Drosophila melanogaster: one gene and its partners. The protein of the gene in region 3 interacts with the protein of the main gene of each other region in a pairwise test. Each region holds a gene or a part of one and is shown on either strand. Other genes may lie near its edges. The genes, in order: CG3081, CG44837, CG8079 and CG32369.

What was found.
Region 1: the proteins of CG8079 (region 3) and CG3081 interact in a two-hybrid assay, tested with the Drosophila melanogaster proteins (one large-scale study listed by BioGRID).
Region 2: the proteins of CG8079 (region 3) and CG44837 interact in a two-hybrid assay, tested with the Drosophila melanogaster proteins (one large-scale study listed by BioGRID).
Region 4: the proteins of CG8079 (region 3) and CG32369 interact in a two-hybrid assay, tested with the Drosophila melanogaster proteins (one large-scale study listed by BioGRID).

The regions. Positions count from the first base shown.
Region 1 is NC_004354.4:4,637,172-4,643,923, reverse strand, and holds CG3081 (uncharacterized protein), read left to right. Parts: upstream 1-2,761; 5' UTR 2,762-2,847; coding exon 2,848-4,599; 3' UTR 4,600-4,665; downstream 4,666-6,752. Other genes in the region: CG3062 (uncharacterized protein), read left to right, coding at 1,594-1,730, 1,782-2,091, 2,272-2,556; pon (partner of numb), read right to left, coding at 5,265-6,752.
Region 2 is NT_037436.4:11,934,853-11,942,420, reverse strand, and holds the start of CG44837 (uncharacterized protein), read left to right. Parts: upstream 1-3,548; 5' UTR 3,549-3,721; intron 3,722-3,913; 5' UTR 3,914-4,080; coding exon 4,081-5,448; intron 5,449-6,501; exon of another isoform or gene 6,502-6,689; coding exon of another isoform or gene 6,690-6,993; exon of another isoform or gene 6,994-7,015; coding exon of another isoform or gene 7,016-7,025; intron 7,026-7,071; coding exon of another isoform or gene 7,072-7,456; intron 7,457-7,568. Other genes in the region: Rpt4R (regulatory particle triple-A ATPase 4-related), read right to left, coding at 1-317; byn (brachyenteron), read right to left, coding at 6,690-6,993, 7,072-7,456.
Region 3 is NT_033778.4:15,215,704-15,226,169, forward strand, and holds CG8079 (uncharacterized protein), read left to right. Parts: upstream 1-2,677; 5' UTR 2,678-2,760; coding exon 2,761-2,952; intron 2,953-3,009; coding exon 3,010-3,133; exon of another isoform or gene 3,134-3,196; coding exon of another isoform or gene 3,197-4,561; exon of another isoform or gene 4,562-4,626; intron 4,627-5,725; coding exon 5,726-5,862; intron 5,863-6,024; coding exon 6,025-6,120; intron 6,121-6,195; coding exon of another isoform or gene 6,196-6,340; coding exon 6,341-6,722; intron 6,723-6,793; coding exon 6,794-7,279; intron 7,280-7,338; coding exon 7,339-7,456; intron 7,457-7,517; coding exon 7,518-7,623; intron 7,624-7,680; coding exon 7,681-7,845; 3' UTR 7,846-8,112; downstream 8,113-10,466. Other genes in the region: CG11808 (uncharacterized protein), read left to right, coding at 597-1,175, 1,239-1,319; mRpL41 (mitochondrial ribosomal protein L41), read right to left, coding at 1,361-1,861; Hex-C (hexokinase C), read right to left, coding at 3,197-4,561; Fs (follistatin), read right to left, coding at 8,439-8,552, 8,619-8,743.
Region 4 is NT_037436.4:7,805,995-7,813,310, reverse strand, and holds the start of CG32369 (uncharacterized protein), read left to right. Parts: upstream 1-3,485; 5' UTR 3,486-4,314; intron 4,315-7,316.

The DNA of each region.
Region 1 (6,752 bases), on a different chromosome or scaffold from region 3:
TAATGGTTTACCAATTGGCCAGGGCGACAGCTGTTCGGCCAGCGGAAATTGAAATTGGAAAAATTGAATGGAGCATTGAAAGAAGCAGAAGCAGGAGGCGGAGCACAATCCACAGGATACAGGAGCTTTGGACCAAAGGATAGTCGGCGGCAGAGCGTGAAATTAGCTTAAGTGCTTGTCGCCTCGACCAGGACACACCAGTGGATACAAGTGCGACATTAGATACGATACAAGAGTACCCGAAAGTAGAGAAGTACCTTCATTCTGGCGAACTTCTAGCCCAACCCCAGTGCCTCGGCCTAAACCAGCGATTCAACCGTGCACGTGTTTGCCAACTAGCTTTTTGACTGTCTAATCCTGCGGATGCGAGAATGCAAGGACACCATGTGATAAATTGCACCCCAGAGGGTTGCCATAAAAATCATCGCTTCACCCAGCTGGGGTGACCACCTCACCCATCTCAACCATCTCATCCAAGGGGTGCAAACTATTCTACCCATATATGCTACCAATCTATCTATCTATCCCATCACTGTATCTATCTGTCTATTGTGTAGCGTTAGCATAGATACCACACCATCGAGCCAAGTGCTGTTAGCTCCTTTGTTGCTAATTGAGTTTAAAATCAATTTGTATTTTTTCACGCCGCAATTTGTTCGAGCGCACAGCTACATTGCGTAATTGCCGTGCAAATTTAATTACAGCGCCGATGCGGTAATGCTGGTTGACCAACAAAACAGCCACGCGCTGCGAACGTGCGCCCTTGTCACACCCACTCACAATACGGAATCAGCACCCAGTGGAACACCCACTGCAGCACCCATCGATCAAGGCCTCAATCAAGTGGTGACACTCGGAGCGCTCCGAGTATCGAGTTACCAGCGAAGGTCCATTTGCATTCCTTAATTGAAATTCGTACGCGTGGGAAGACCACGCAGCCTGAAAGCTTTGAATCTCCCAAAGTTGGATGTTGCTCCATGTTTTTTTTTTTTTTTGGAAGAGATGATCTTCCATTTAACAGATTTCACTTCTCATATTCATATTCAATTATGCCACATAGTAGTTCAATCCAATTCAATTGCAGGCATATTGCCGGGCTCACTTGCTCCTGTGCCCGCTTAGGGCTGGCTAATCCTTCTGATAAATGGTCCGGGCTTTGGATGAGATGCAGTGGCTCGTTTTTTAGCGCGCGCAGAGATGTTGGAAATTTTTAGAAAGGCAAACACAAACAAGGCATTAAGTGGCATTAGACAAATGCCTTTCTACACATGTTCCAGCGTAGAGATTACGCCGTGTAATTGGCCCCACCTCCATTCGCCCGGGGTGGGTTCCGGTTTTCGATTGACATTTGGCCACGGCTGCGGGGTGGGCTACTGCTCTGCTCTGCTCTGCTCCTTCTACAATTTTTTTTTTTTTTTTTGTTCTTTCTTTTTATCAATTGCCTTGTTTGCGCTGGGACCATAAATAAGGGCATTACTCGCAGGGGGCGTGCGCGTTTTCCTAACAGGTGTCTATCGACTCCTGGCTAATCCCATGCCCATGCCCATGCCCAGCTCCCTGACATCGAGTTCCTTACTTACTCGTTCGTTGCAGTTCGAAGGCCGATTCCAGTCGAAGCGTCTCAACAACTGGGAATATCCGCGATTCTCACCACCCCGCCCACGTGGTCTGCAGAAGAACGCCAAGGTTGTGGCGGCCAATAACGGTCACCTGCTGCCCGAAGTGATAAAGTAAGCAATTGCCAATGCCCCACAATTATACAGTTTAATTTTAATCCACAGGGAGGGCAACTCATTTGGCCAATATCGTGGAACCTACGAGCTACCGCGTCGAATAACCCGTGCCTTTTGCGCCCACTACGATGCCTGTCTGAGTGGGCGGTACAAGTTTGTTGACTTTCCGCGTGACCTGTGCAATTGTCAGCGAGAGAACCGCAGGGCACTGGCCTGCGATCAGCGGTTGACCTTGGGCCACAAGGACGATCCCTACTGGATGCGCGAACGGTGCCAGACGAAGTGCGAGGGACTACAGAAGCTGAGGGCGTTGAGCGAGCGGAGTGCGCGCTGCAATCGGGCCAAGTGCGACGTGGTGGTGAGTGGGAATCGGGGTCACCATCGGGGTCACCATCGGTGTCACCTCTTACCAATTATGTGCACCCAGATTATTGAGTTATCTGCAACCAAGCTATACATATTTTCATTTCTGGTTGCACTTTTTGCACTTTCATCCTGCACCCTGCACACTCACATTCACATTCACCTGCAACCGTAGAGCGAGAAAACCGTGAAGATGACGCCGAAGGCAATCAAGACGACGGGTGTGGCCACCGAAAAGCGGCGTCGAAAGCGCACCATAACCGCCTTTTCCAAAGGACGAACGGCATTGCATCCCAATGAGCTGACCAAGCCGATTCCATCGTCGGAGAAACCGGCGGCGACTGTCGCCACTCCCAAGGACAAGCCGAAGGACAAGCCAAAGGACAAGGAGGCGGGCAAGAAGGATAAGACGAAGGATAAGGGCAAGGAGAAAGAGCGCAAGGCGGCGAAGGGCCATTAGTAAAACTTCATTATTTTGTTCAACCGAAATTCAAATCAAATTCATTGTAACCGCAGGTTTAAAATACATTTTAAAGGGCAGCACGATTGCACTCAACACAAATCATATAGCATATATATTTTATAACTAAACCCAGGTTAAACCATCTGTTACATATGTACATAAATCATACATCATTATCATCTCCATCTCCATCTCCATCTTATCTCATCCCATTCCATTCTGCACCACCAACGCATTGCAACAAGTGAACGAACCTGAAAGCCACCTACTCCATTACTCCATCCAATCATGTCGCAAACAGCTCTCCCGGAACTGAGCTACACGCCGGGCGACCTAACAGAGCCGCAGTTCCGGCTGCCCTCGCACCAGGAGCTCCTCGACCAGAAACGCAACAGCACGGACAGCGTGCCACTTGGTCGTCTCACCTTGGACACGCGCGACACGCAGCCCATCAAGTACAGGGAGCAGCTGGGCTCGGCGGCCGGTCGTCAATTTCCGGCATTGGCAGCGGCCCAAAATCGCTATACGGATCACTTGGAGCGCAGCAGCGAGTTGAGCTTTGCGTGCCTGGAGCCGGGCAAGGATCTAATCTCATTGCCGACGGTGGGTATACGAAGCTTTGATCTCGATCCCGTATCCGTATCCGAACCCGATTTGATCAAGAAGATGCCGCTGCACTCGATCACGGAGAAGCCCAACGAGCGGTGTCCATCGCCAGTGGTGCCGGCATATGCCAATTTCGAGCTGGCCAAACGGATGCACCAGGACAATTTGGACCACCAGCCGCTGCCCGATTGCGTCGCCGATTTGGCATTCCGGCGAGCGCAAATATCCGGCGGACATGCTGGCCTGGCCCTGGAAATCGATCCCATTGCCACGGGCGTGGGTGTGAAAACGCACAATGCTGGTCCGACGCACTGCACCAAGATGAAGGTCTTTCGTCCGAAGACCGGCGGTGGCATCGTGCCACGTGCCCTCGGCAATGGCGATGCCTTTCGAGGTGTTGGCTCCGCTCCGGCCAAAAAGATGGGACCCATGGATTTGGCCATTTGTTGGGACTTCAAGCCGGCGAATCCATCGGATGAGCCGCGCCTGGCCAGGCACATAGATGGCTCCAATGACTCCGCTGGACCGGCTGTCTTCACCTGCGTGAAAACGCCTCGCGAGGAACAGTCCTCGGACTTGGGCCGATCGGCTGGCGTCTTCACCAGCACGCTTGGTGAGGCCGATTTCTTCGACAAGGACATCCTGAGGAAGCGAACGGATTTTGGCGGTGCCCGTGTGGATCGCGAGGATCCGTGCGCCTGCGACTACTCGCCACCGGCCAGACAAAGAGCACGCAGTGTCTCCCGCGATTCCAGTGCATCGCATTGCAGGCGAGGATCGGGCATCGGCGGTCCAACTGGCGGTGTGAGTTTCGGCAATTTGGCGGAGCTACCCGGTCGCGGGATGCCCGATCGTCTAGCCAAGCAGTATCAATCGTCACCCCTGCTGGGCGACAAAGCCTACCAGGCTTTGAGGGAGAAATATTTGGGTCCGGACTCTGGACAGGATTGCAGGGCCATGGATTGCCGGCCAACGGGTGGTCCACCATGCAAGCGAGACGTTCTCCTCCGGCGTCCAGCTCGACGTCTCTGCCACAAGGTGGCTCCAGCTCCCAGATGCTGTCCCCCATCGTTCGGCGGACATGGTCATCACCATGGACATGGACACGGACACGGACATTGCTTGACCAGTAAGGCGGCATTTCGCGCCGGAGTGCCCAAGCATAATGCCTCCGGTGATTTCGTGGGAATAGAACCGGGCTGCGGAGGAGGTGGCGGTGGCGGTGGTAGGGTTCTGGTGGTGCCACGCCCCCGGCAGCCGTATGCCAAAAAGAATTACGACATCGAAACCCTGGTGCCGCCCTTCCAAAGCCAAGCGGGCGGAGCGGGTCAGGGCGGCTATCCAGAGCACTGGCGATTGGCCAGTGTCTATCAGCACGCCTACAAGCCCATCGACCAGCGGCGGCGACCCCTTCTCCAAACTGTCTACAAGTAGGTGTGCTCCAGGATGGCAGTCCGCTCAAGAGAGAAATGTCCGGACAAACGGGATAATGAATAATTGAAAGCTATACAAAAATGTCCATAAGCTAAGCAAGTATATTAACTTATCAACTTAAATGTTTGCTAGTCATTAGCATTAAATTGATGCATCTGTACACACAAATTAGTCGGAAAAATCGGTCCAAGAATAGGAAATCACACGTTTATGTATAAAAAAACAAATGTTATATATATTAGAAAGCATATATATATATATATATAAAGATATATGGGCAAACATACATACATACATATATGAATAAACGTGCAAACATCAAGTAACTTAAAACTATAAACAGTGTGCAAATTAATTTGCAGAGTTCGCTTGAAAAATTAAGAAAAAAAACTTGATTAAAAACTAGGTGATGATGTGGTTTTCAGATGAAATAAGGTTTCCTTTCCTTTTTTCGCTGGTCTTGTGTGACAATCTTTGGGTGCAATTAAAAACTTAACTAGGTGCTGAAAAATCGAATTGAAAAGAAGTCAATTGGGTCAATTCAACAAGGGGAAGGCGCATTTCAAAAATAATAACAAATAAATTTAAATGCTTTCGGTTACAGAAATGCCATTTGAAATCCCCTAAAAATCGACGCACCAATTGAATCTGTGGAGCCAACCTGCTCACTTGGCGGTTGCATAGGCATCGTGACTCTTGTGGAACACATGGCGCAGCACGTCCCGCGTGGACCGCCTAATGCTGTTCCGCAGTGAGTGCTTCTTCTCGTTGGTCAGCTGCTCGATGGTCATGTACTCGGTTTGGGCAACGCTCGAGCGGAGCTTCATGGTCCGTTCGCTGGTGTCGATAATGGAGACGTCGGCGAGAACGGGCTCCATTTGCTCCTCCAACTCGGCCGCCTTTTGTGGCCTCCTGCGCAGGCTGTGCCGAATGCTATTGAGTATGTTGTGCTGTCCATGGCCCTGTCCATGTCCATGTTCATCCTTGTCCTCGGACTTTACCTCGGATGGCGTGGTGTGCGACGTGGGATGCATCAGTCTTCGAATGGACTTTCTTATCATGCCTTTCATTCCGATACTGGGCTTAACTTCTGCCGATTTGGCGGACTTGCTTGATCCGATGGACTGCAGCGACTCCTTGCTGGCCGCCTTGGAGGGCAGAGCGGCGGGTCTGTAGGCGCGAACGAAGCGCGCGGGTGCCTTGAAGTCTAGATCATCGGGCTCGTCGTCGGATTCGGATTCGGAGGCATAGGCCACATCGCCGTCGGTTGGCTCCTTTTCCCGTTCCTCTTCTAGCTGCCTTTCCAGGAGCTCCTCCTCCTCCAGCTTCTCCTTCTCCAGATGCTTGGCCCTCTCCTGGAGCTTTTCCCTGAGCTGCTCGTGCAGCTTCTCCTGCAGCTTCTCTCGCTCCAAATGTTTTTCCCTCTCTAGGAGTTTCTCCTGCTTCAATTGCTTCTCCCTCGTTAAATGTCGTTCCCGCTCTGAGACCATCTCCTGCTCTAGAATCTTCTCCTGCTCGAGAATCACCTCTGCTTCGCGGTCCTGCTCGAGCAGCTTCTCCGTGTCCTCTTCCACCTCGGAAGCCTCGCTAATCTCGGTTAGTGTGCGTCGTCTGGTGCAAACCAGACGCCTCTCCACTTGAGTGTCCACCGTCACCACTTCCTGCATCATCAGCTCCTGCGTATTGGTCTCCATGACCAAGGAGACCTTGGTGTTCTTGGGCAGTTCCACCTCCAAGCTATTCCTGGGCAACTCTCTATCCACCAGCACGCCATTCTTCCGTAGCTTCGCCTCGTTGATGCTGTTCTCCAATTCCAGTTGATAGCGATCCAGCTCCTTGCCAATGTCCATAGACGACTCCTCGCTGATGGCGCCCAGCGATCGTTTGGGCGCCGGAACGGGCGAAAAGACCAGCTTCTCGGCCAGCAGCTTGCTAGGCGTTAGCTGCGTAAGGGACATGCCGTGAAAATCGATGCGACAGCCCAGCGTTGGCGTGAATGGCAAGCCGATCTTCAGGCTGGTGGGCAGCTGCTCCTCCGAATCCCTATCGGCCAGTGCCGGATTGGCCACACCCGAGGGATTGCAGGCTGCCTCGGACGCCTCGCTGGGCCGATGGATCTCGAAGGGATTGAGCGAGGCCGGCGCATCACTGCC
Region 2 (7,568 bases), on a different chromosome or scaffold from region 3:
CGTGTGCCGGGCTTTAGCTTCTCCTTGTTAATCTGCCGGCGACATCCGACCACGTAGCGCGGTCCGTTCGAGGCCTTCACGATGAAGTTGTCCGGTGTGAGCTGCTTCAGGATTTCCCCGACCATCTGACCCACACTCTGGAGAGCCTTCAGATCGTCCTCGGACTTTTCGTACTCGGCATTCACGACCTTGTACTTGTCTCGCAAAGCTTTCAATTTGGATTCGATCTCGCGGTGCTCCAGAAGCTTGGTACGGTAATTGGTCAGCGCCCTCACACGCTCGTCGTCTGTTGGGGGATTTGCAAGTGGAGCAGACATTCTCGAATTTTATTTCTTCCTAACTACACCGAGTGACTTTAAAATTGTGCACACGTGAAGATTTTGACGTCTGTCAATTTGAACGATGGAGCACTTCGATGAACCGGTTCATAAGAAAACGACAACGAACATCGCTCTAAAAGTTCTATTAACAGTACAGTGGAACGTGAGAGAGAAATATTAATTTAAAACAACAGAAAAATTATTTAATGACTAAAATAATATATTAAGTAAAATATATTTATTGCGAGCAACTGATGCTTACAACAATGTAGATACCTATAAAACGCCAGTAAATATTCGCCAAGATTTCGATATTAAATTTTAAGACATATTGTAATACATATTTGTATAACTATATTACAAAAAATAAGGTAAGATGACGAATTACTTAAATTTGTTTTTAAAACTATTTCATTGTTTTACAATCAAAGCCATTTATCCAAAGGTTGAAAGCTTTGAAAGCTTTCGCTCAAAGAAGATGGCGCCACTTTGTGCAGAAAAAATTCTGAAATGAGAAAAACAAATTATAAAGTAAGGAGCGTTAAAAAAGATTGAAATATTTTTTAATTTTGGCATTTTATATTTATATTTATGGATTTTAAGACTTTTACAAGTTTAGTTTAAGATGGTATTATTCTTGTTTATAGTCTTGGCCTAAAGTCACCTATTACAAGGATATTAAGAGCTGCATTTTGTGTCCACAAACTTAAACAGAAATCGACAATTGTACAGAGCCAGTGATTTCGACTTTAGTAGTCCGCTGGCACGTGAATGCCATCGAATGCGTCGGAAGGTGCTGGCCGGGAACCAAATGTCAGCACGGCATCCGGGGCCATAAATCAGGCCATTTTGTAGCACTCCGTGTTGCGGGTCCAGCTGGTTCGAGTGGTTTGGTTACCACGACCAAAATATCCAGATATCCACTGGGACAACTGCATCCACGGGTCGAAATGCCCCGCATTTGGGACACATGACAAATATGCAGTTTGCAAATGTCTAATGAATTTGAACACGCCTTGCAGCGCCAATTGGTGCCAAGTATTTTGCCTCTGGCTGTGGGTCTTTGAAACTGAAACACTTTTTCATTCCTTTTGAACCATTTCTTGTATTTAAAAATAATTACTTTGTGTTTAGAAAATTACAAAAAAAAAATTGTATCCCAAAATTACTTATTTAAGTTTGTGGCTTCGTGGTGCTTGGCTTCACCCTTTTCTGGATAAGTTGAGAAGACAGGGTAGGGTTAACATTTGGAAACCAAATCGCCGCCAGACAGCAAAAGTATCTCATGCGGGGGAAGGAACAATAACGTACAGAAATATGAAGTTTCTGGAAACGAAACCGAATTTCTATTCAATAAAGTTCGGTGGCTTGGTTGGGCTCGCAACTTGTGGCGCAGATGTTCCCGACCTTCCAGCCAAAGTTCGTTATTTGGTCAAGGAAAGAGGTCCTGTTCGAATTCGACTCACTGGCTACAGTGTCCCCATAAAAAAAATTAAACGCAGACCTCAAACAGAATGGCTTGTTGCAACTTTCACTTGTTTTCGATCTTGACTTCTGACATCCTCTGTGGCAGGGATTTGCCGTCGAGGACATGGGCGTGGCTGGCCAACATGTTCACGAAAAATTATGGCTTGACTCCGACATTGTTGAGCCCTTCACGGGCCAACTTTTGGTTCTCTTTCCAAGTTATTAAGCTTTAAATAAAGAAGAATCCTTTTTAAATTGTTTAGACAGCAAAATTCCCACGGGAATTTGCAGTAAGCCAATGTTTCAAAATAATTATTTGTTGGCTTTACAAGACAATAGGAAACCACATTTTTCTGTTTTTTTCTTAATATTTAAATATTTTTAATTACCACAACGCCTTCACATTTACGTGAAAGGTTTAAATAAAACCAATTTAAACGTCTATTTAGTAGATATTTCCTGTAATTATTAACAAATAATTGTTGTGCCATAGAAAAAATTTAATTTATTATAAGAGAACGGCAATTAATATAATTATATAATAATTAATTATTCCTTTGCCTGCATACTAAGATTAAAATAAGTCACTTAATGGAGCAATGGATATATATCCACAAAGTTACATATATATTTTTGTTTTTACGAACGTCCCATCGATCCGCTTTTTGTTAATCATGTGAGTCCTCGTATCTGAAATATGATTTGCATATGGATGCCGGATGTGCTAATGCAAATTTTTGACCCAGCTTGAATTTCATTAACACGATTCGGGGGATTCAGCGGTGCACATACTTACTTCCCCTCCGTGTTCCGACACTCAGCCCATCCGATGCTTGATGGCCATACATCAGGATGAAGGATGAGCACTTCAGAGTATGTGTGTGCCATGAGCAAGTACTTACATATGTACCCAGGTACAGGTGTGCAGAAATGTGGCCGTGCATTGTAATGTTAAGTTACAAGAAATGGTCACACTACAAAAAAAATTTTAATGCGTGGGCCGTTTCATCTGTACAACTAAAATATATCATGTTTTCTAGCTATTCGCACATTGATTTTTTAAATAATTTATATTGAATTTAAAAACATAATATTAGATATCACACTATATTTTTCTGAGTGCTGGCTTGGGGGTCGGTGAACATTTTGAGATGAGGTTAACAAAAATGGCTATGTGTCGTCGTCCTGCTGACTGCGAAATTGCTTTGGATGCCAAATGAATGCACTTGCATATTTCATTGCCGCCCCGTCACCTGCGGTATCACCTTTGGGCCAACTCTTTGCCCCAAGTTGGGATAACACCATCATAAAACAATAGACTTTGGCTTTGTGGCCAGGAGCAAGCGTAACTTTGATTACCAAGAAGAATGTATGCTATTGAGTTCAATAAGAAAAGCCCTGTTTGGTAAAAATGTTTTAAGGTCTGTTAAGGCATAGCATTAAAACAAAAAAACGCTACTTTGGAGGTTAAATTCTTTTTATTGTTACATGATTCCAATGGATATTTGTTTTATATTTTATAGTTACTTTTTTTCAAATAAGTATTACAATAAAATATCTTTGCATTAACATGGACTTTACATTACATACTGTTAACATGGCGACCCACTGCCATACTTTTTTGTTGGGCCAGGTCACTTACGATCCACAGCATCCATCCACTGGGGGGTACTCCTTGCGGAAACTGTTGCTGCTGCTGTTAGCAGTGCCGTTATAAAGTAACGGTACCGCAGCACTGAAGAGCCCAGTGTGTTGGCAGCGCCGCGTGGCAACGGTAATTGAATTGAACCGGGTAGCGTTAGCGGTTTTATCCAACGGAAAATGTGACGGAATATTGGCGGGATTGACGTGTTATAATTTATTTGTTTTAGTTTACGCCGTGATATTGGAAAAGCATAACAAACATAACATTGTTAGTGAAAGAGTAAAAATAGGTAGCGTTTGGAATCCGATTATTATATCTACTATCTTATCATTTACTTTCACTTACATAATAGAAACGTTATTTTTTGTATATTATATTTATTACTTAGCTTACATTATTTTACTTGCTTTCAATATATTATATGTACATATAAGTTGTACCTCCTTTATAATGTTATATCCTTGAATACTTGAATACTTAGGCCACCAAAAATGTGTTTATTTTCATAAATATGCAAATTAAAAGTAAATAGACCAGAATAAGTGCTAATACTGAAACATAAATAAAGATGATTTGCGTGTCATTACTCAAATATCAACTAAAATTCGTGAAAAAGAATTAACAATCCATGAGTGACTAAAGGGAACCATGTCTTCTGGCGAGTGGGACCTGCGTGCTTTGAAGGCGCTGGAGGAGGAGGAGCAGCGCGAGTTCCTGGCCCTCAGCCAGAGAAACCTCTTCGATCCGCTGCCGAATCCCTCACCGGATGTGCCCAGTGCGAAGCCTTCACTAACTTATGCCCAGCTGCATCCTCACCTGCTAAAGCTGCCGACGATCGACGAGTGCCAGCTGATGGCCGTCAAGCAGCAGAGATCAGCGGCTCTGCGATTCAGTCGCGCCCTCTCCTTGTCCGCCCACTCACTCACCTCGCGAACCGGAAGCGCAACGGCAGGCGGAAGTGGCCTGGGCTTTGGCCGTAAACTGAAAGCCCGCTTAGTGGGCGCGAAGTCGAGTGGCTCACTTTCGCCCGGTCGGCACTCGCACAGCTACAGTGTTTCCCCGGTATATACGCCGCCGCCCATGAGAAGATGTGCCACCTTGCATCACACGCAACCGGTGCGAAAAGTCTTTAAAAATCTCCAACAGCTGCAGGAGCGAAAACGTCAGGCGGCTGGAAGTCATCTGCAGAGGATCGCTGGCACTGGAAAAACGTACTGGAAGTACGGAGCCAATTCCACGGCCGCCTCGATAGTGGGCCAACGTGCACGCCAAAACCAACAGATCGAAGTCGAGGAGCCCAACGGTTCGGATGAGCTGAACTCGGAAACACAGGAAATCTCCGAGGCGGAAACGGGCTCCTGCAGTGTGCCGCTGCCGTCGAAGGACACCAATGAAATACTCCGCCTCATGCTCAGTGCGGCCAGCTCGGCGGTAACTGTGACGCCAACGGCGGCGGCCATTGGTAACGGTAACGTGGCCGGAGCAACTGGTGGCGCCCCGCCAATGCGTCGCTACCAGAATGCCAGCGATGTTGAGGAGGACGAAACTGTTGCGTACGGAGCTTTCCACCAGGCGGCCAAAAGCTTCGAGCGCGGCGCTCTCCTGCGAGTCGGCAGCTTAACAGCCCAAGAGAGCGATAACAGCAAAGTTAATGCCATTAGCCCCAGTCCACAGAACAGTCCCGCCAGGGAAACACAATCCACAGCGGTGGGCGGAACGGGTGGCAGACGTGTGTTCAAGTCCTGCTCATTCGATTGGCCCGGGGAAGCGCAACAGCATCTATCCCCGCAGCCACATCAAGCTGCAAATCCTGTAGAGCTGTTGGAGCAGCAGGGAAAGGACATTCGCTTTCGCCAGAGGGATCACTGGGATCTCGAGCATGCCCACTTCCATCACGAGGCACTTGGACACCTAACAACCAGCACCACCGTCATCGATGACGAGCTGGAGCAGCATATCAAGCACTGTTCCTGCTCCTGCAACCACATGGGCTATGGCAACTCAATGGACTATCAGGTGAGTGAAAACTACGTTCAAAAGAGATTAATACAAATAAAAACTGAAAACAATTTCGGTTGAATAAGAAACATATGATTAACAAATTGTAACTTTCGAAGCTTATATTGTCTATTAATGTCGGTCTATTGTTATACCATCAGTATAGGAAGGCAAATGGCTTTAGTTATTGAAATTTTAGATATTTTGCAATTAAGTGGAATGCTAATTGTTTCCTGTTTGCCCATTTAATCCAAAACCGCGTCAAATTCCCGCCGTGCACAGCCCTTTTACAAGTGATGGCGCCGTGTAATTTTAATTGCAGCAACTATATCTGCAGTGCGGGTGTCCGGCAATTCAGGTGAATGGCGGCACATTCAGAGGGCCTCCACTTTCTATCCAGCTTTTAATGCACTCTGGCGGAGATTCCAATACACAGGCATTTCCCAAACTCATTATCAGCGAGGCCTTTTGTGGACATTCCGGGTTCACGGCTGGATTGGTCCTGGCAGATTGCCGCCTGGAGATCGCCCTGGGGCACTGACTCTGCCATTGCCAAGTGCTCCATTGTCTGGCTGCGAGTGGCCCGCATGGGATGGGTTCAACTTTTAAACTAAATTGAATACCCCTTTGAATCCGACAATGAGCTGGATGCCTGTTCTTGCCGGGATTAAGCTCACAGTTGGGTTTCTCGCACCCTCACATCGTTATTGTCTGTAATTGTTAAGACGATTTTAGGTTTAATAGCTGCCATTTCAAATAGAGTTGGAGTCTGTTGGCTGACCCCTCGAAAACTCAAGACTTTATCTTTTGTTTTACCACAAGGATGCAATTGCACACTCTATGTGGCCCTAAGGGGTGTGAGACTTTTATTGTGCAATACTCAGGAACAAACGGCCTGGGAAACTTAAAGCATGACAGGAGTCTTCAACTAGGAAATATTTTCTCGGTTAATAATGCACTCTAAAGAACTTTTAAATACCATTGTATGTAGATGATGATGTAGATGATACCATTGTATGATGAAATGATTGCCTGATAGTTAGGACCTGAAAAAATGAATTCTAGCCATTTGCATAGTTTGATTACGACTTTATAGGAGATTGTTTACAGCGTACAGATAGTTCTACAATAGGTGCGATTGCGATTGGGTGTGCTTTACTAATAGCGTTACTAACATAGGGCGTTTATTTCTAACTCGATCGAACATCCAGGGGGGTCATGCGTCTAAAGGCTGTGGGTTTATCCGTGGGATGATCCGATCACTGCAGCGTGCTCTGTGGCGGAGTGAGCGGGGTCCAGGTGTCGGCAGCTACGGCCGGAGCTCCATTCACCACGGCGGTTGGCACCGAGACCACGGCAGCTCCACCGCCAACAGTGCCCCGTTCCCCGGCGTGCTCCAGGGATGAGGACTCTATCTTGATGTCGTGAGAGCTCTTCAGGGAGGAACTGGCGCACTCCAGCGTTATGACCGAGCCCTGCTCATCGCTCGGCTTGTACATGGCAGCCTGGGGGTCGTCCAGTGTCTTTGAAACATCAACGGGCTCCAACGGATGAGTGGCATAGCTGGAAGGCGGTTGGTGGGAAATCATTGATAGCTACGTTAGCGGTAAGTGCGCACAGTTCCCCACCGATTCAACCTACCCGATCTCCAGGGGAATGTATTCCGGCTGGTAATACGCGGCGGCAGCGTTCTGGTACAGTCCGTACTCCGCCCCGGATCCATTGTGCCAACCACTGGCGGAATAGCTTAGCGCCGAGGGCGCATTGAGAACCGCATTCGTGTACAGCTGGTGAGTGGGTGAGGTGGGCGTGGGATGGTACACCTGGTGGGCAGCTGCACCGTATGCCGCTTGCGGGGATCCCGTTGTTCCTGCCCCGCCCCCAACGCCCACTCCGGTTCCATAGATATCCGTTTGGGCCATGTTGTACTGATGACTGTGTGGCGTCAGGTGATGAATGGTGTAGCTGGGCGAGGAGGTCGTATAGCTCGGGGATCCATTCGTCGGCGACGGAGAGTTATGAGATGCTATAAAATTAAATTTATCAGTCACCTATCTTCCATATCATGATTGTAAATAGTCATTATAATGTGTGCAGCAAACTAGAAACTGTCAAAAAGGTGATACCATTGTCCAAAG
Region 3 (10,466 bases):
ATTTATGACTGTTTATTTTTGCCTGCAAAATGGTTTGATTCGCCAAGACTGATAGATCGTGTGGGAATTTCGATCCCAGTTGATTTAACGAATGGCTAGTGGTCATCAGCGATAAGGTCTCCTATAATCTTGATAACTGCTGATTAGGTATAATTGCTAAGAGTTAATCAGCAATTAGTATTTCCTGCTTTGGGCGTACGGCAAACTGGACATTAAAAGACCCCACATCAGTCTGTAAACTGACATGCTAAGCCGGTAAGGACAAAACTCAATAAATGTAGTATATTAAATGAATATGTTAAAAAGAATTAATTGATTTAATATTACACATAGTTCTAAGTTAAATATTTTAAAGTGATTACTATAATTAAAATTCGCGCCTATTAGTTTAAATTAAAATCGGTCGATAAGTCCAAAAATCGATAGGCGGTAAACATGTTGACACAATCAGTGTGGCCAGCTGGAATATTCGTAAAAATGTTGCGTTTTCTTGACAGGCGATTTTGTATTTTGGGAATGAGCGACGTCCGGCACACAAGAAATATAACATAAATAAAAAACTAAATAAATAATTAACTGCCGATAAAGGACACATTATGAGGGATCGCGACCGCCGTGACAGAGATCGCGACAGAGAGAGGGATAGAGATCGGGACCGAGAAAGAGACAGAGAGCGAGACCGCGACAGACGACACAGATCAAAGTCGCCCAGCAGGAGCAGCCGGCAGGTTTCAAAACCGAAGAAGAAAAAGGCCAAGAAGTCGAAAAAGTACTCGAGAAGGAGTCGCAGTAGCAGTCGCAGCACCTCGCGCAGCTCCTCCAGCAGCAGGAGTAGTTCCCGCAGCACGCACAGCAAAAGCAGAACCAGGGATCATCACAAATCGCGGTCTATTTCGCAGAGGAAAACCAGGGGTCCAAGTTCGGAAAGCAATTCCCGATCCGCAACCACACCCGCAGCTGCTCCCGTGAAGGCCATCGATCTGTTCGACACCAAGGTGCAAAAGGCACTCGAGACTATAGACGAGGACACCTTCAAGCCGGAGTCATTTTTTAGCTCCAGGGATTCAAAGGAGACATCCGATAAGGTGATCATAGATCTGAACAATGAAACGGTCACAGTCGCCAGCAAGCCAGCCACTGCAGTCCGAAACGAAGATGTAATATTCCATCCGAACGTGAGTGGGTTACCTGGTGCTCGAATATACATGCTAATAGTATCTGATTTTCAATTCCGACAGTTCCTGGGCGACCCGGATATGAAGGCCGAGAAGTGGCTGCGCAAGCTGTACAATTACCGCCAAAAGTACATGCAGGAGTAGTCGAGTTTAGACTCTGTATTTAAGAAACAATAAACCTATGTCTAGAATATATCGCTGCCCGTCTTTCGAGCGCGTTGCAAGGCCTCCTCCGGAGTCAGTTGCTCATTGACCGAGGGCTCCTTGGCGCTGCCGTCCTTCTGCAGTTTTCCCGCCTTGAAATCTTCGATAATCTTCTGCGAGTAGACGGCGTTGAAGAGATCCAAGCTGGTGAACTCCGACTGGACGACGTCCGGCGCCTTATAGGACACGTATGGCTTTAGCTTACAACCGGTCAAATCGGGAACTATGATGTCCGGAATTTTCTCGGGAATCTCCACATACTGCCCGTCGACAAGTATGCCCGTGTCTCGTACACCTCGCTTGTGAATGGCTACCGGCGGATTGGCCAGTGTTTTCTGGGCTTCCTTTACCACGCGCGTACCGCGCTTGTTGTATGCGTTAAATTTACGGAAGTTCCGCTTGCCCTCCAGCACGGATGAAGTACTGATGGTCCTCTGCTGGCACCTTAGGGCAATGGGCACTACTTTAATACAATTATTCATTCTTATTTCGTTTTTCGGCGACCAAAATGGTTAAATAACAAATGTAGATGAGGGAACAGCTGTTTGGTTGGGTAGAGATGACACTTTTTTCGATAGACAATTAATCCCAGTTGGAAATGTATTGGAAGCCAATTTGCTATTAAACTACTTGTTTTTTTAAAAATACCGAAAAAGTTTTTTTTCTTTTAGGCCGTTGCCATATTTATTTTATCTTGATAAGAACTAAGTTGTTTTTTTTTTCAAAAACTAGGCATATTTTTTTTATGTGTAAAAGCAACCATCTCTTAATAAATCGATTAACTTTGCAGCCACCAGTGCTTAAAACGACTGTTAGTTGAAATGAAACTAGATGTTGGCGGATGTCGATGTTTTTGGCGAATAACATCGACGTTTTAAACATCGATGCTTTAAATAAAAATAATTGCTTTTTATTTTAATGTTGCTTAAATAAAACGTCAGTATTTGGTGTCCACCTTTTCATCCTCCGCTGGTCCAGTAATTGCTCCTATAAGACAAATGCACGTTTACATACATACATGTATATACATTTAGACGTGCATATGACATGCATTCATATGTGCAAGCCTTTTTCGGGTGTTAAAAACTTTCTTCTCAGATATTTTCCATGTCTATCACGACGCCACAATATGGTATTAATAATTGTATTAGAAGATATGGAAAATTAATTTGTACTTACAATTTATACGCTTTTCTCCTCAGATGCGATGTAGAGATGGAAAAACATCGATGATTCCTCGAAAACATCGATGAATGCGATTTTTTGAAAACATTGATGACATCCATGCTAGCATCGATGTTTCTCCATCTCTAGCTGAAACTCCCCAAATCGGCTTGTGATCCCTATAAAAAGTTGATTTAGATTCGACGGTTGTTAAACAATGTCGTTACCGGCTGAAGAGGAGGATTTGGCGGACACTGTCGCCAAGTACGATTCCATCGAATTGAAGAGCATACAGGACCTGGAAACCTGCGAGCAGCAACAACTACTGCAGTACGTCGAAAAGCTGCACGGGATTATCCGCAAATACGACACCAAACTGGCGTCCTATAAACAAAAACTCCTACACTACGTGAGTCCCAATTAAAGGTTGAGCTAAAATGGTCTTAATTTTTGATCTATTTTAAAGGTAAGCCGGGAAGAAAAGGTTTCGTGTGACAAAGCCAGCCAAGCAACTGAATCGGAATTACAAGAATGCCAGTATTCCATGGAAAACGATGAGGATACTAACAAAAAAGACCAGCCCAACGATTGTGAGTTAAAATTTGTTTTATTACACTGAGTCCTTCTATTATTGCTACAATAGTAGTGAGTTCCTACTTTGTTTTACTGGCCACCGCGGCCACCAGCGCAGCTCCACGTCCGGATCCGTCCTCCGAGAGCATGATGTCCCACTCCTTGTCTGCTTTCACCAGCTTTTGGAGTGTTTGCCTCATGTAGGCATCGAACTTTGGATGGTATCGGTAGACGGAGCCATCCATGCCGACTATCACGCGGCGGTTGGAAGTCCTGTTCACCAGCCCACTGACTCCGATGGCTACTAATGTAGCCGCTCGCTTAGCTACGCACTCGCAGATGTATCTCAGAGTCTGGCAGTCCTCCACGGAGGCCTTCTCTAGACCAAACAGATTTTTCACAATCTTCCTTGTGCTGGCAAACTCTGGGAAGGAGTCGTCCTCGATTTCCGAAATGTAGCGCGTCTCGAAAACCTCTTCGTTTCTCTGCAGCACGCTGGCGAATTCTGGACGTCGACTGCTCTGTTTAAAGATCAGCTTGCGCTCGAGGGCACGAAGTAGCACAAGGCGCACCAGGTTGCCCAAGTACATGCCCGCCGTCATCTTTTCGAACAGCTGCTCCGATCGGTTTAGAGACTTTTCGTCAACTTCGCGATCGTATTCGGTGCGCACAAAGTCCAACTGACCACCCTCACCAAAGGCGCCCCACTCAGCATTTACAATCACACTCCGCTTCGTTTTTTTAAAGTCTGCGCGCAATAGGTCCACATTCTCAACATCTTCAACGTAGCAGGCATTGCAGCCAGTTCCCACAATGACACCCACCCGGCAATCTGCATTACGATGGGCGCAGGACATCAAGGTGCCAGTGGTATCGTTGAGTATAGCCACCACGGCAATGTCGGCATCTCCGCGCCGCTGAATGGCCTCGTGCAGCATGCGGCCCACATCCTCGCCCTCAACCCCAGCACAATCGAATCCCTTAGTCCAGCGTACCAGGATGCCCTCCTTAAGGCCTAGTTGCACGCAAGGGAAGGAAAAAGTGAAGCCCAGTGGCAGATATGCGGTCTTCATGTCGTGTTTCTCCACAAATTTGGCCAGGCAGCCCGCAATGTGATCGAATAGGTCCACACCGGGCCCCACCATCAGGTCCTTTGGCACGGCATAGATCTGAGAATCCACCGTGGCGTCGTGGTGACCTTTCAGCGAGACGAGCAGTACTCGGAAGTTGGTACCGCCGAGATCCAGGGCCAGGTACTTGCCCATCTCGTCGCCCGTGGGCAGATCCTGCACGTACGTGGGAAAACACTTGACGTTGGCCTGTGGATGCGTGGACCGCTTAAGTCCACGGGCCACTTCCAGGCAAAAGCGACTGTACACTTCCTGCACCTGGTAATCACTCAACACAAAGGGTTGCATAAGTTCTCGCACCTCCGCGTCCAGCATTTTGCTTGGCTAATCTATCTGTCTTAGTTGTAACCGCCTCGAACGATGAGTAACGACTAACCAGGCGCCTGGCGAGCCCACGGCGATTTGGAGTTGCCCTGGGTGCCTGATAAGAGCCAGGCGTTGAGATGCAGTGCGCCTTGGAAACAACTGCTGCCGCTGCAATATGGGCGCTGCGTAGCAAATTAAAAACGAAAACACACCTAAGTAGCTGATTTGCGGATTCCGAATCTGAAACTACAACTGCGCGACATGCTAATCGCTCGTTGTCTCGTTTGCCGCTTGTCAATTGGTGGCAATAGCTTCAGATTCGGCACCCTACAAATTAATTGTAGATCGTCTTTAGCCGACTATTGGAAAGGAGGAAATATGTCACAATTAACTCTGCGAATAAATCCCGGATGGACACCGATCGCATGGCACAAGAATCCATTAAGAGATTACTATTAAAAAGTGTTTCAGTATCTACAAATAAGGTGTCCTCCGTTGTACTAAATTGTTGTATAACTTTTCGTAGAGTGCCATATTTCCGGAAAAAATGGCCAAGGCCGTATTTCACTTTTTTACTTTCTAAAAGCCATAAATTGTCACAGGGCGATATTAGCTGCAACACGCCTTCTTAGTTACGATGAGATAAGGCCGTTTCAAGGACCGCATCTTACAAGCGCAACCCACCCACTTGTCTATCTATTGAGGAGTATTGGCGGGGTCCTAGGTCGAGTACGTCAAACATTCCATGCCGGTAATGCCCGAGATAAGCACTGAAGTGTCGCATGGGCTAACGCCACTGCCCCTGACAAAAATCCGAGCAGCCCTTGACACTACTCTTAATAGAATTAATATGATTACGCAAAACTCAGGGGATTAGAAAAATAATTAGAATTCTTATACTAACACTTAAATAGCTACTTTATAGTTCGTCTAAATACATATAACTATAAACATTAATTTATGAATGTAAAGATAACTACAACCCATTTCCGACTATTTTTAAAGTTGAAATAAGGAAATGTTTTTCAAAACTGCTGATAACATTGCTCATTTTCGTGTCGTTCACCACAGGTTTCTGTTTTTATTTCTATATTGTCTTAAATATTTATAAAACCTTATCAATAACCATCAAAACATTACAAGTCATGTTTGGAAAATAATTTATATTTGCAGTATCGGCGACGGACGCCTTCAGTTTTGTGGACGAAATGAGGCAGGCAGCCAAGCACGCCGAAAACCTGAACAACTTCGTTTACGAGCACACCTCTGGCATGTACTACGATCCCAAGACGGGATACTACTATAACGCGGTAAATAAGCTATAAACAGCGGACGCAATCTTTATGACGTCCCGTTCTATTCCGCGATGCAGTGACTGCACCGCGATGACTTTCAGGGGTTATCGCGCTGGCAAACCTACATCAATGGCTCGGATTGTTGTTAATCTACACCTGCTTTTCTCTTCCTCGCAGGAGTACGGGCTGTACTACGATGGTAACAACGGCTGCTACTACAGCTATGATCACGCCAAAGACTCGTACGAGTTCCACTCTCAGGCCCAGGTACAGGTGAGTGGGTGTAGTTGCGGATTTCAATGCCATACGACCACATTAACCACTGTTCTTCTCCTCCTCGCTGCGCAGCCTTTGAGCGACTGCGCCTATAGTAGTCTTTTAGCGGGGTTTCACAAACTCCGCATAGACCGAATGCGTAGCAATGCATTAGGTAAGAGTCAAGGTCCAGAATGTGCGATAAAAACGCGGATTTCTTTTCTTAACTTGGTTGCAGGCGAACGATGCGGCCAAACCGGAATCGGAGGACGAGGATTTGGAGGTGCAGTTCGATGAGCTGGGAGGCGTCATTACGGACCACGAAACGCTGAAGAAGATTAAGGCCGAGAAGCAAAAGGCCAAAGATCAAGCTGAAAAATCCAAGCGCAAAGCCAAGAAAAAGAAGAGTAAAAAGCACAGCAAGAAGAGATCCAAGAAGGAGCGCCGTCACAAGTCCAAGAAGCGTCACAGGCATTCTGATGATGAGCGGTCTAATGATGCCGAGGAGGGCGAGCTGTCGCAAAGCAGCGACTCCAGTTCCGACTCTAGCAACGAGGATAGCAGCAGCAACACGGAAGACAGCAGTGTTCCAGTTTTCAAGGCTGCCGGACGCTTTCAAGGTGTTTAAGTTATCCGCGTTTTTATCGCGCTCTTCCCTGTTTGTTTAACTAACGCTTTCTTCTTTGCTTAGACATTGCTAAAAAGTATCCACCCTCCCTCCGCATCATTGTCCAGGAGACTAACGTAGAGTCGCTGAAAGTGGGAAGCCTGCATCTAATCACATACAAAGGTGGATCTCTTGGACGGGAGGGCGCTCACGATGTTATCATTCCGGACGTGAACGTCAGCAAGTGCCACTTAAAGTTTAAGTATGAGAACAAGTTGGGAATCTACCAATGTCTTGATCTGGGCTCCCGAAACGGTACCATTCTCAATGGATCCCCAATGTCCAGCGACGCCATGGATCTCGTTCACGGCAGTGTTATCACTCTGGGCCAAACAAGACTACTGTGTCATGTCCACGAGGGTAACAGTACCTGCGGTTTGTGCGAGCCGGGCCTTTTGATAGAGAATTCTCCGCCGGTAGTGGCCGCTGTTGCCTCATCCACCGCATCCGTATTATCTCACAAGGAGCAGTTAAAAAAACTGCAGCGCAAATATGGACTAGAAAACGAAAGTAAATACAAGACAACTTATACTCTCACTTTACTTTGACAATCCTTAATTCACTTTTAGAATTCGTTGATACTAGCGGCAATGGGCAGTCCAACTACAATGATCGTGCCGCAACAAGGAGAGTCCAGGTGGGCAGCAGTACAGATAAAGAAAAGACTGAGGTGGCTTGTGTGAACACGTGAGTATCAGCTTACACATCTTAACTTGAATTGGTTGACCAATGTGTTATTCGTTTTTAGTGAAATCGGTAGCTCTAATAAGGGTTTTAAAATGCTGAGTAAATTGGGCTGGCAAAAGGGCGAAAAACTGGGCAAAACAAATGCCAGTGCTGGACTTTTGGAGCCGGTAAGTGTTTTAGACTTATAAAGCTAGTCACTACTTCTAATACCAACCCGTTCGCAGATCAATGTGGTAGCCAATGAGGGCACTAGCGGTCTGGGAAACAGTGACCCAGTGCTGTCCAGCTCCAGAACCATTGACAAACGGAAGCTGGCCAACTTGAAGATCACTCAGGCGCGATATCAGCGCGCCAGTGATATGTTTGGACAATCGGATGATAGTGATTAGAAAGACATTTTGAATGATGTTGGAAACACATTTAATTAACAATTACTCAAACATATTTATAAGTGTATGTAAATATATATGTATGTATATACACATAGATTCTATGTATGTATATATTAATTCAAAAATCTTGCTATAAGGTTAAGCTATCAGTCAATTAATTAATTTAGCTTCGCTTATAAACAAAAAGAATAGGGGAAGGTAATGTTAAATAAATACGACTTCGCACACGTTGGTCTAAACTAATTGCGAGCCTAATGGGCATACAAACCGATCGTTTAAATTAATTATCGTGTAGCCTAATGTTAATGTTAAATACAAAAGCCTCTTAAGATATGTGGTTTCTCTTGCGATACATGCTGGATAAGATTTGCTGCAATACGTAATGTTGTAAGGTTGATAATACTTTGCCTGTATGTTAAGTGTATCGGATAATATGTAGTGTAAGCTCGGTAGGCTTGGGCAACAGCCGCAGGCCCATCCACCGATTACAACACGAAAACGCACAACGAGAATCTTTGGATGTTGGAGCTACGGAAGAACACGCTACATAAAGCCCTAGGCCGATGTGGTCGAGAGATGCATCCGATCTCCTAGCAGCTACCCTGGGACTTGACGCCGATGAAGTAGCGGGATTCGCAGGAGTGTTTGTGCATCTCACACCACGAGTTGTATGTCTGGTTGTTGTAGCCGCATATTTTGTGTACCTAATATTACAAAATTAATTCATAATAGGAAAGGAAATGTTTTATTTACAAAAAATCTGTACACACCGGTCGCTGCTGCTTCCGCGGACACTTGTAGCGACAGGTCACGCATCTCGGCTGGCGCGTCTGCAGATCCACCAGGCAGTTATCCTTTGGCCCACACTTGATGTCCGCACAGCTCACGCGGCCTGCTGCAATATAAAGTTTATGATGCGAACGCATTAATGACGGCTGCCTGCGGTTAAGTTTCAGCTTTATGTCTGGCAATTTCGGTTTAATGGCTCCTGCACACTGAAATGCATGTCCTGGCCGCCTGAGAACCTGGGCAGGTGCTTCTGTGATTACGGCAGAAGTGCCTGGCCATTTTAGAGCAAGCTTTCAACTTTTAAGGGCCATATACAAATGGTGCATTCGGTGGCTCATTAGGTCATGAAGATACTATATGTAGTAGTCTGGGCGAGATTAATAGAATATTGACTAAAGTTCAATTTTAGGGCTTACTTAAGAGGAAAGGATAGAATAGGATGCATGCATATGCACAACTAAATCTGTTGTCGTATCTCAGTCTGTCTTAAGTGCAATTTTCTAAGCTGACGCATAGTTCACACCACGCATTATCATGAGATACTAAACTGCACAAAGATAATATTTTGGTTTAGATCTGAAAATTATAAACGGACGATATAGAACCACATTTTTTATTATTGTATACTATATCCATCCCTTTTATATTTGTTGAACTAAATAAAGAGATAATTACTCTGATCGTATCATATTTTTTTGCTGTGCACCACGTCCCTTCACCTCACTCCATTTCCATATCCATACCCATCAGCATGCACAAACCCATGCCCATTTCCCATTCCATTTCAGCAATGCGCAAGACGGGTAGCATCTTTGGACCGGGCCAACATCCGACATCCGACTGGTGCGACTGTCGGGGAGTCGGCCAAATGGGCAGTTAGCCATTTAGCCAGTCATCCAGTCGAGCTATAAAGCAGCCAAGCGGCGCGCAGCCGCAAACGCCGGGCAAAATATATGTGTTTATCGTCAACATGATCTGCGACTTGGCAACTATGTTGCACAGAGCCCCCGGGCATTGTCGATCGCAATTGCTATGAAGGCGGAGCAGCAAAAGGCAAAGGGAGTCGTCTGGATTGTCTCTGTCTGGGTGTCTGGAACTGCATCTGCATCTGCATCTGCATCTGGAGTTGCATCCGCGGGTGACGGTGCGTGAAAGTCCGCCGTCTAGCAATTCGTAACAGTTAAAGTTTATTAATTTCAACTGCCAATTTAGCTTTAGGCAGATACGTCCTTTGCACGAGGTCCACTGCTCCACACTGCTGTGCTGTGGTACTCTGTGCTGCCCCGCACTTGTTGATTGTGATGGATGTGGCAGTGGCCTCCAGAGCAGGAGCTGCACCGCTGGTTATGGCTGATAATGCCGTCACAAGGCGAGCCAACTATAATTTGTTATGTCGACGTGGTTTAATCAACGCCGGCGGCCGTTGGCGGAACTTATTGCAACATTGTATGGGTTATAATGGGATGGGATCATATTGGATGGGCTCAACTGGAATGGGCTGGGCTCTGTTGGTCTGGTCTGGTCTGGTCCGGTCTGCGATGGGATGCGTCGTGGGTCATGCGTCTGGTCTGGTCGTGGTATATGCGTGTTCCCATTCAGACCAGCACTGGCCAGGCCAAGCCGGGTGGACTGGCCATTGGCCATTGGGCCATTTTGGCATTGCGTGTTGTTTAAGGTGATTTTAATACGATCGTAAACTACAGCCGGGACAGAGAGGAAGAAGGCCCAGACGCTCCACCAGACAAAAGTGACGTCGCGACGACGTGGACAGTTGGACAGCTGGACAGCCGGAGACCCCAGACCGGACTTTATTTCACTCGGGACATGGG
Region 4 (7,316 bases), on a different chromosome or scaffold from region 3:
AAAAATAAACAAACAAGCGAATAACTTTTGTAGATAAATTCGTAGTTGATGATTTTTATATCTATCTTATACAGATATTAGTTGTATGCATATAGTACACTCAACTACATAGCAAACGGGCAAGGAATGGCGATCGTTAGGCAGGGTTAAAAATAGTAACTAAAGACACAAATTGTTGCAGTGCAAAGCAGAAAACAAACAAAAACGAGAAATTAGCAAAGCGATAACTTAAGTAAGTAAGTAACGGGCAAGAGCTGAGTGTTTTTAGTGAGTAAGAGTTTAAAAAAAAAATGGGAACGTAGCGGAAACGGAAGTGGCGGCGCGAATCGAATGGCAATGCGAAACATATTAAATGCTAATATATACATAATATTATACACATATACATAACTTATATACATATATATACATAAAAATATATTCTTACATATTATTAAAGACGAAAATGTTGTTGAATTTTAAAATCAATAAAAAGCCCCCGAAAAAATCCACAAATAAAAATATTTAAATGTAGTAAGATAAAAACGATGAAACAAAACAAAAAAAAATAAAAATTGTTAGTTGTTGCAAAAAATCAAGCTAAATTAATTAAATAAAACCAAAAACTAAAAAAAGACCTTAACGCGTTTTAGAGCCTTTACTTATATTTTGAGAATTTTGCAAAATGAAACGAAATGCAAATAATTTTATATGTGAAAAGCGTAAAAAGCTGAAGGTAAATTCATAAATAACACAAGGCTACCATAGCTTAAGTTGAGGCGTAAACGAAAGCTAGATCAAAGCATAACTTAAAGCCTAAGAAAAGGCAAGATAACTTCATTTGGTACTCAAAACACTTAGTAAAAGATCAGCTTAAGGCATTAGAGCAATGCTAAAAAGAAATCCACAAGAAACTCAGCCTAATTGTTGTTGGCAGCATGCAAAACACAAAAAATGAATACGAATGAAAACCAAATTTAAGCTAAAACGTAAAGATGAAAGCCTAAGCAAGGACACTAACATGTACCTAGATATATATACAAAACCAAAATAAATCTAAAAAAAAAAAAACAAAAGAGAAAACCTAAAGAAACTCCAACAGAAGTGCTCGAGATGCTGCAGATTAGCTATAATTTACTACCTAATGTCAAGTCATTTGTTAATTATTTTACACTCAACTTAATTCATATTGAGTTCCATAACATTCTGTATAAGTTTTTGTAGATTTTGTTAACCGAATGAGAAAGTTATGCTTCTGTTATGGTCTTTAATTTCGTAATAGAAACTGAATTTAATTAGTAGGAACTTCAAGAGATAAGAAGTGAGATTAAGGCAAGGCGAATAATTATGTTTTACGAAAACTGCAAGAAAGAACAAACAATAAAGGTTTAGATACAAATTTTGAAACGATAAATGCAAAAAAAAAAATGATAAAAACTGTTTCATTTTTCTGTGGATTTTGTGGTATACCATTAGGCGAGTTTTTTCCTCTGAACGAATAGCCAACTTCGGGGCAGCATTGTCAAAACAGAGTGGTTGGCCTTCAAAGCAGCTGGAATACACAGTTTTGAGTAACTGGAGGTCAAGTTGATTGCATAATTGGTGAGTGGAGAGAGGATCTGAAAATGGTAACTGGATATGAGATAAGCTGTTAAAACTGTTGGGTGCAGTTGACATGTCGCTAAATAAAGCTGCCGGAAACTCAAGAACTGAAATGACGAACTTCAAGTTCGGATAAAATGCGCATTCTAAAACAATGTATACCATTCAACATTTAATCTGTGGAAAAACTTCCATGGATTCCAATCATAAGACAAATTCTCACTTCCACTTGGCAACAAACGAAACTCGCCCGACTTCAATTAACATTCACTAAAACAACGAAAAAAAATAAATAATTTGTTTGTCAGCTTCACACACCTATTTCAAATTCAGCTGAACCAAAGCCCAAATCGGTGATATACACTATTATGCAAAAAACATAATAAAGCAAAAAAAAAAAACTGAAACTAATTTCCTCATATATTGCTTACAAAATAAACATTTCAAACATGAAACTCGCAGCTAATTTCCGTTGATGAACAACAAAAGCAGCGCCAACTATTTGAGAAATGGGAGCTGTATAACCGGTACACAGTCAAAATTTAATTATATAATTGTACATGGTATTAAAATATATGGTACTACTAAAATAACGTTAATTGCTAAACAATTAAAGATTATTGAGATTCTACAACTCAGAAATTTGAAAATATATATTAGAATAAATTTTGTTAATTTTAATATGTTTTAATCTGTAAACTTTCAAGCTTTGTTTTTTTTTTGAATGCAGGCTTAAACCAGACCCAGACCTGAGGCAAAGCAATTCGATTACTTCCCTATGGGGAAATGTTGCAATAAATGCGAGCAATGCTCAAACATAAGCGGACTCCACTCGCCCGCCCCGCATATTTTTATACTGTCCAAGACTTACGAAAGCGAAAAATGAGTTAACAACAACGGCCACTCAAAATGTTAATGGAAACGCAGCAGCAGCAGCAGCAGCAGCAGCATGAAAACTGGTAGTATGCAGGCAACCGCTAACAGACAACGTTGAACTTGAGCTTGAAATACAAGCCAAGCGGAGCCAAAAGAGAAAGACGGGAAGTAGGGGGAGGGGAAGCGATACGCGGTTGTTATAAGCCAAGTTTGTCGACAACTGCATTTGTTGATCAACCCAAATGAGGTCAACGCGTCGTATACGTAATTTGCGTTAAATGACAAAACAATATGTAATAGCCACACAACACTTACGAAACGCAGATATTCGATATTACAGACGAACTTTAACAACTCTGAGCTCTATCGGGATAGGAAATCTATAGCTTCAAAACCTGTTTAAGGATTATAAAATTAATACATCTTGTAATGACATGTCTGAGAATTAATCAACTTATATTTTCACAGTTTAATCTATTGTGTATTTTGTTATACAAATTTCGTTATTAATTTTATAAGTTATTTGAGTAAGCTTTTATTCTATTTTACATAATCTAAAAACTATATTTGCGTATTAAACAAAATTACAAAATTTTATATATGTAATTTAGTTTAAGTAACAGAAAATCGACCGTATCTGTTGTGATTATTGATGTTTGCTTGGTGTTTATATGGCTGTAGTCTGTTGAGTGGCGCCGGAAATGCGCATCATACGATAAATGACGCCCACTGGCAAACTAGCACCCCCAACACCACCCACTATCCCCCAACCCAATAGTTTTGCAAATCACCCACCGCAGCCCCCGCTGCCCCATCATTTTTCTTGGCGTCGCCTGTTGTGACAGTTGACGGTTTGCCGGCAAAAATTAAAAAAAAAAATAAAATGCCAGAGAGAGAAGTGCTAAACAAAGAGAGCTCAAGGCACAGACATCGATGACGCAACAGACACATCCACGGAGGCGTAAGAGAGTCGACCCCAAAAGAGAGCGCCAATTTTTCGCTCCAAGCCAACGACTGACTTTTCACAGCAGTCATTCGCTGTTGAACAGCGGCCGTGGCAAGTTCAGACAGCAGGGAGAGTTTGAAAAAAAAAACCAGGCCGTAATACAAATACAAAAAGCAAAATAATAAAAATTATACAAAAAAAAAGTATGAATAATAAAAAAGGCAAATAAAAAAGCAACAAAGTGGAGCGCACCCCATAAGCAAATCATCGCCGAGCCACTCGAACACGTTGCCGCCGTTGCTGCTGTTGTCGCTATTTCTTTCGCCCAGTGCGTTCGCTCTCTCTCTTTCTGTCTCGTCGCGTAACGTAAGCGTATTACAAAACAAACGCCAACGTAATCAAAGAAATAAATAAAATAAAATAAAGGTGCTCGCTCGCGTGTTTCTCGGTGTGAATAAATGAAATAAATAAATTAGTCACAAAATATAAAAAGGGGGTCCAAGTGCAGCCCCCCCCAAATTGCCGCACACCCTTTACGAGAAAGAAAGAAAAAAAGTTAACCCGTGTGTGCGGCGGGGTTACGTAAAGCCGACGGACAAGCGCCGTTCCAAGTTCTTACAAAACAAAAAAAAAAATATATATAAATATCAAACAACACATAACACGAGTGAATAGATTCCCCAATTCGATTTTTTCGCACGCGTGTGGCTATAAATTTTTGGCAAACAAAAATATATACAACTAAATACAACAACAAAATTTTAAATAAATTGCAAGAAGAAGAGGGAGAATTTCGTGTGTTAGTGTGTGTGTCTGTGTGTGATTCTTGAGCAACAGTACACGCCGCACCCCCCGCGAAAAACCTACCCTTTTTTGGGGAAAAACAAGGAGGCGCGGTTCAACAGCGACAGGTAATTCCATTTCTGCGCTCTCTTTGCCACTCTTTCGGGTTCTCTTTGTGTGTGTTACGACATCAAACCACATGCTATGCCTCTGTTTTCAATGTGAATGAACGCTCGACAAAGTTGCGTTTTCAAAGATTGGCACATTCAAGTCTCTCTCTTAGTTTTTCGCTCTTTGTCGGGGAAAACAGTTTTTCATTTGCTATCTGCAATGATTGTGAAAACAAAAAGTGCACTGCTTGAGTCTAGCGGAGGGAAAACTGCAGGGGCGGCTCTTACGTGTTGCCATATTTTTAAAGGCATTACTAAGCGTTTTTTCCGCGCTGCTTTGTTGACGTTCTGTGGCCAATTGAATTCGGCCTGCACTTGATAATCATTTATATTTAATGTGTGATAAAACTTCCGTGGAAAAATATATATCTTAACGATTTCGCGATAAATTAGCTCAGATAAGCAAAAAACAAATGGTGGAAAGAACGATTTGGGAATTTTAAAAGAAGTAAAATTAAGAAAATAAACAATTCAACCTCGTTAAATTATAGTTGACACAAATTTTATATACAAAGTTAAAGTATATAAAATATAACTGGTAAAAAAAAACGTCAGTTTTTTTCATTTTCATTTCATTCATTTTCCTTGAATCTGTCGCGTTGTCATCGCTTTCGTAATTCTCTGGTTAACAGTTTCCAATCCCCGATAATCTACTAAAGATTCGCCAATTTGTCGGGGTCACCACCCAATATTCGTCAGCTACCAAAGCGAGAAACTGGGCTCCTTCCCTCTCCCCCCCTCGACCGCATATGCCCCTCTCACTCGGTTGACGTTTAGCGTTACGACACGCAATGTACTACGAGTATTATGCGACGTTTGCTGCCAATGAACAAGCCGCAACAACACAGTTCGCCCACTTGGCCCAAAACGAAAAACGCCAAAGGGGTTGGGGAAATGCTGAAAAAATATGGTTAGCTCGAAAAGAGGAAAAACCTATTTGCATACGTCATCGGGCGAAAAAGGTTCGTCATGACTCAGAGTCGAATATCGAGGAAGCCAGACTTCAAACAGCTGGATCGTTGTTATATAAACCAAGTCAAACACTACACCGAACTTATGTAAGGCCCAAAGGGACCGGGCCAATTAGTCACAGCGAATGTGGGGGTTCTTGTGTAATCGGTGTGAAATCAAAACCGAAAACCTGAAAAATCACAAACTATGTAGAAATTTTTGGTTGCTAATTGGCTTGCCTCAATAAATTCTTCAGCCCAGTTTCTTTTGTAGTTATTTTGAGCTATTTATATCAGCGTTTATCGCCGTCGTCATTGTCGTCCATTCGAATACAATGTCATAAAACGTGTGAGCCAAGCAAAAAACGGCAAGACAAATGAGAAACCAATAAAACAAATATCAAAGAAGAAATCAAAATGTACAAAACCAAATAAACGCCAACATTAAGGCAATGAAAATGTATGCGATTTCATAATTACGTCGAAAACTACCATCGGAGCATAATCACTTGGTTATGCAATTTATTGGCTTATGTGGCGTGATTACTTGGCGATTAAAGAACTCTATCAGAAGTTCTTGGGATTTTAGGAAATTGGTGAAAGACTTAAACAACTTTGTAGGAATTTCCACACCTGAGCTGTTGCTCATATCGTATTTGGGTACATGAATGTTCATGAAGATGAATCATTTGTTGACTCATTTTCATAAGATAGCAATTTCATAGTTGATACAGAACAACTGTCGTTTTCAATCAGTTCTTTACAAGCAAGCAAATAGTAATTATTTCAACAATCGCTCAATGAGTTTATCACATTTAGTGCTGTAAGTTCCTTTATCGACTTCAATCACTGCGCGCCTACAATCACTTATCGGACTTAAGGCAAACAATGCCTGAATTCAGTTGACTTAGAATACTGACAAACGCCGTTGTAAATGTAGCTATATACACATATTATATGTCAACGCTGCCATTTTGTCTGAGTGACGACGGACAACGGTTGTTTGTATCTACGATTGACATTGCATAATATTGTGAAAAATAAAGCAATCTACGCTATAAGCTATTGCCCTGAGGGCGTGTTCAGGTAGCCGGGCTTCACATATTTGTTATTCACTTAGGAACAATTTATCGGATACGGATTATGCAATAGGACTTTACGTACACGGAACTGCAACCACGATTGCACCAGGATGCACGTGCAGTTATATGAGGCGTATACATAATTTTTACTTACGCAAAGCCGAGCGGCAACAGGAACAATTAGAATCGAGTGCCTTCTGGCTTGTTTACCAACTTTTCCCTTGTCCAATACAATGTTTCACAATGCCAGCTGATATGAAAGTTGGAGCTCCCTATCTCAATCTCGTTCGTTACCTCTCTATTTATATATACTGCTTATATGGTTTCGTTTCCGAGGCGGAGATTGCGCTGTTTTGCTTAAAATGATCAGAAAGTGAGTTCTCTCGAGTGCTACAATATCGATATCAGTAAATTGCTTTCGAAAGGGAAATTTCTGCAGGGCGAATTCGTGAATTTCAAGTACAATATACAGGGAACTTAAATGTGAGTGAGGACTTAAGGTCACGTCGTGATCAGCTCCAACTGACTGAAACATTAAGTAGATATTATCCAATTAATTTCTATATTTTTGAGTTTCATGCTGACGATTTATTGACCCTCATAATAATCCCACTTTATTTCAAATTTTCTATCTCTTATCTTCTATTGCCAGTAACTCGTTCGTTTGAAAGTGTATTATCTGTCTAATCTAACCAAAAAAAAAAAAAAAGAAATAATACCTACCCAGATCTTATGTAACCTGCAGCCGAAATTCTATTCCGAATATAACATGCGTGTTTAATTTTCATTATATTTTTTGGGTCGCCAACTCGATCAGAAAGTCTCATGTAGATCGTATATCTGCGGACATATAAACACACCCTTGATAAATTCATTTTCTTGGCTAACTACCAACTTATAAGATATTTCAGCATTACTTAACAACGAG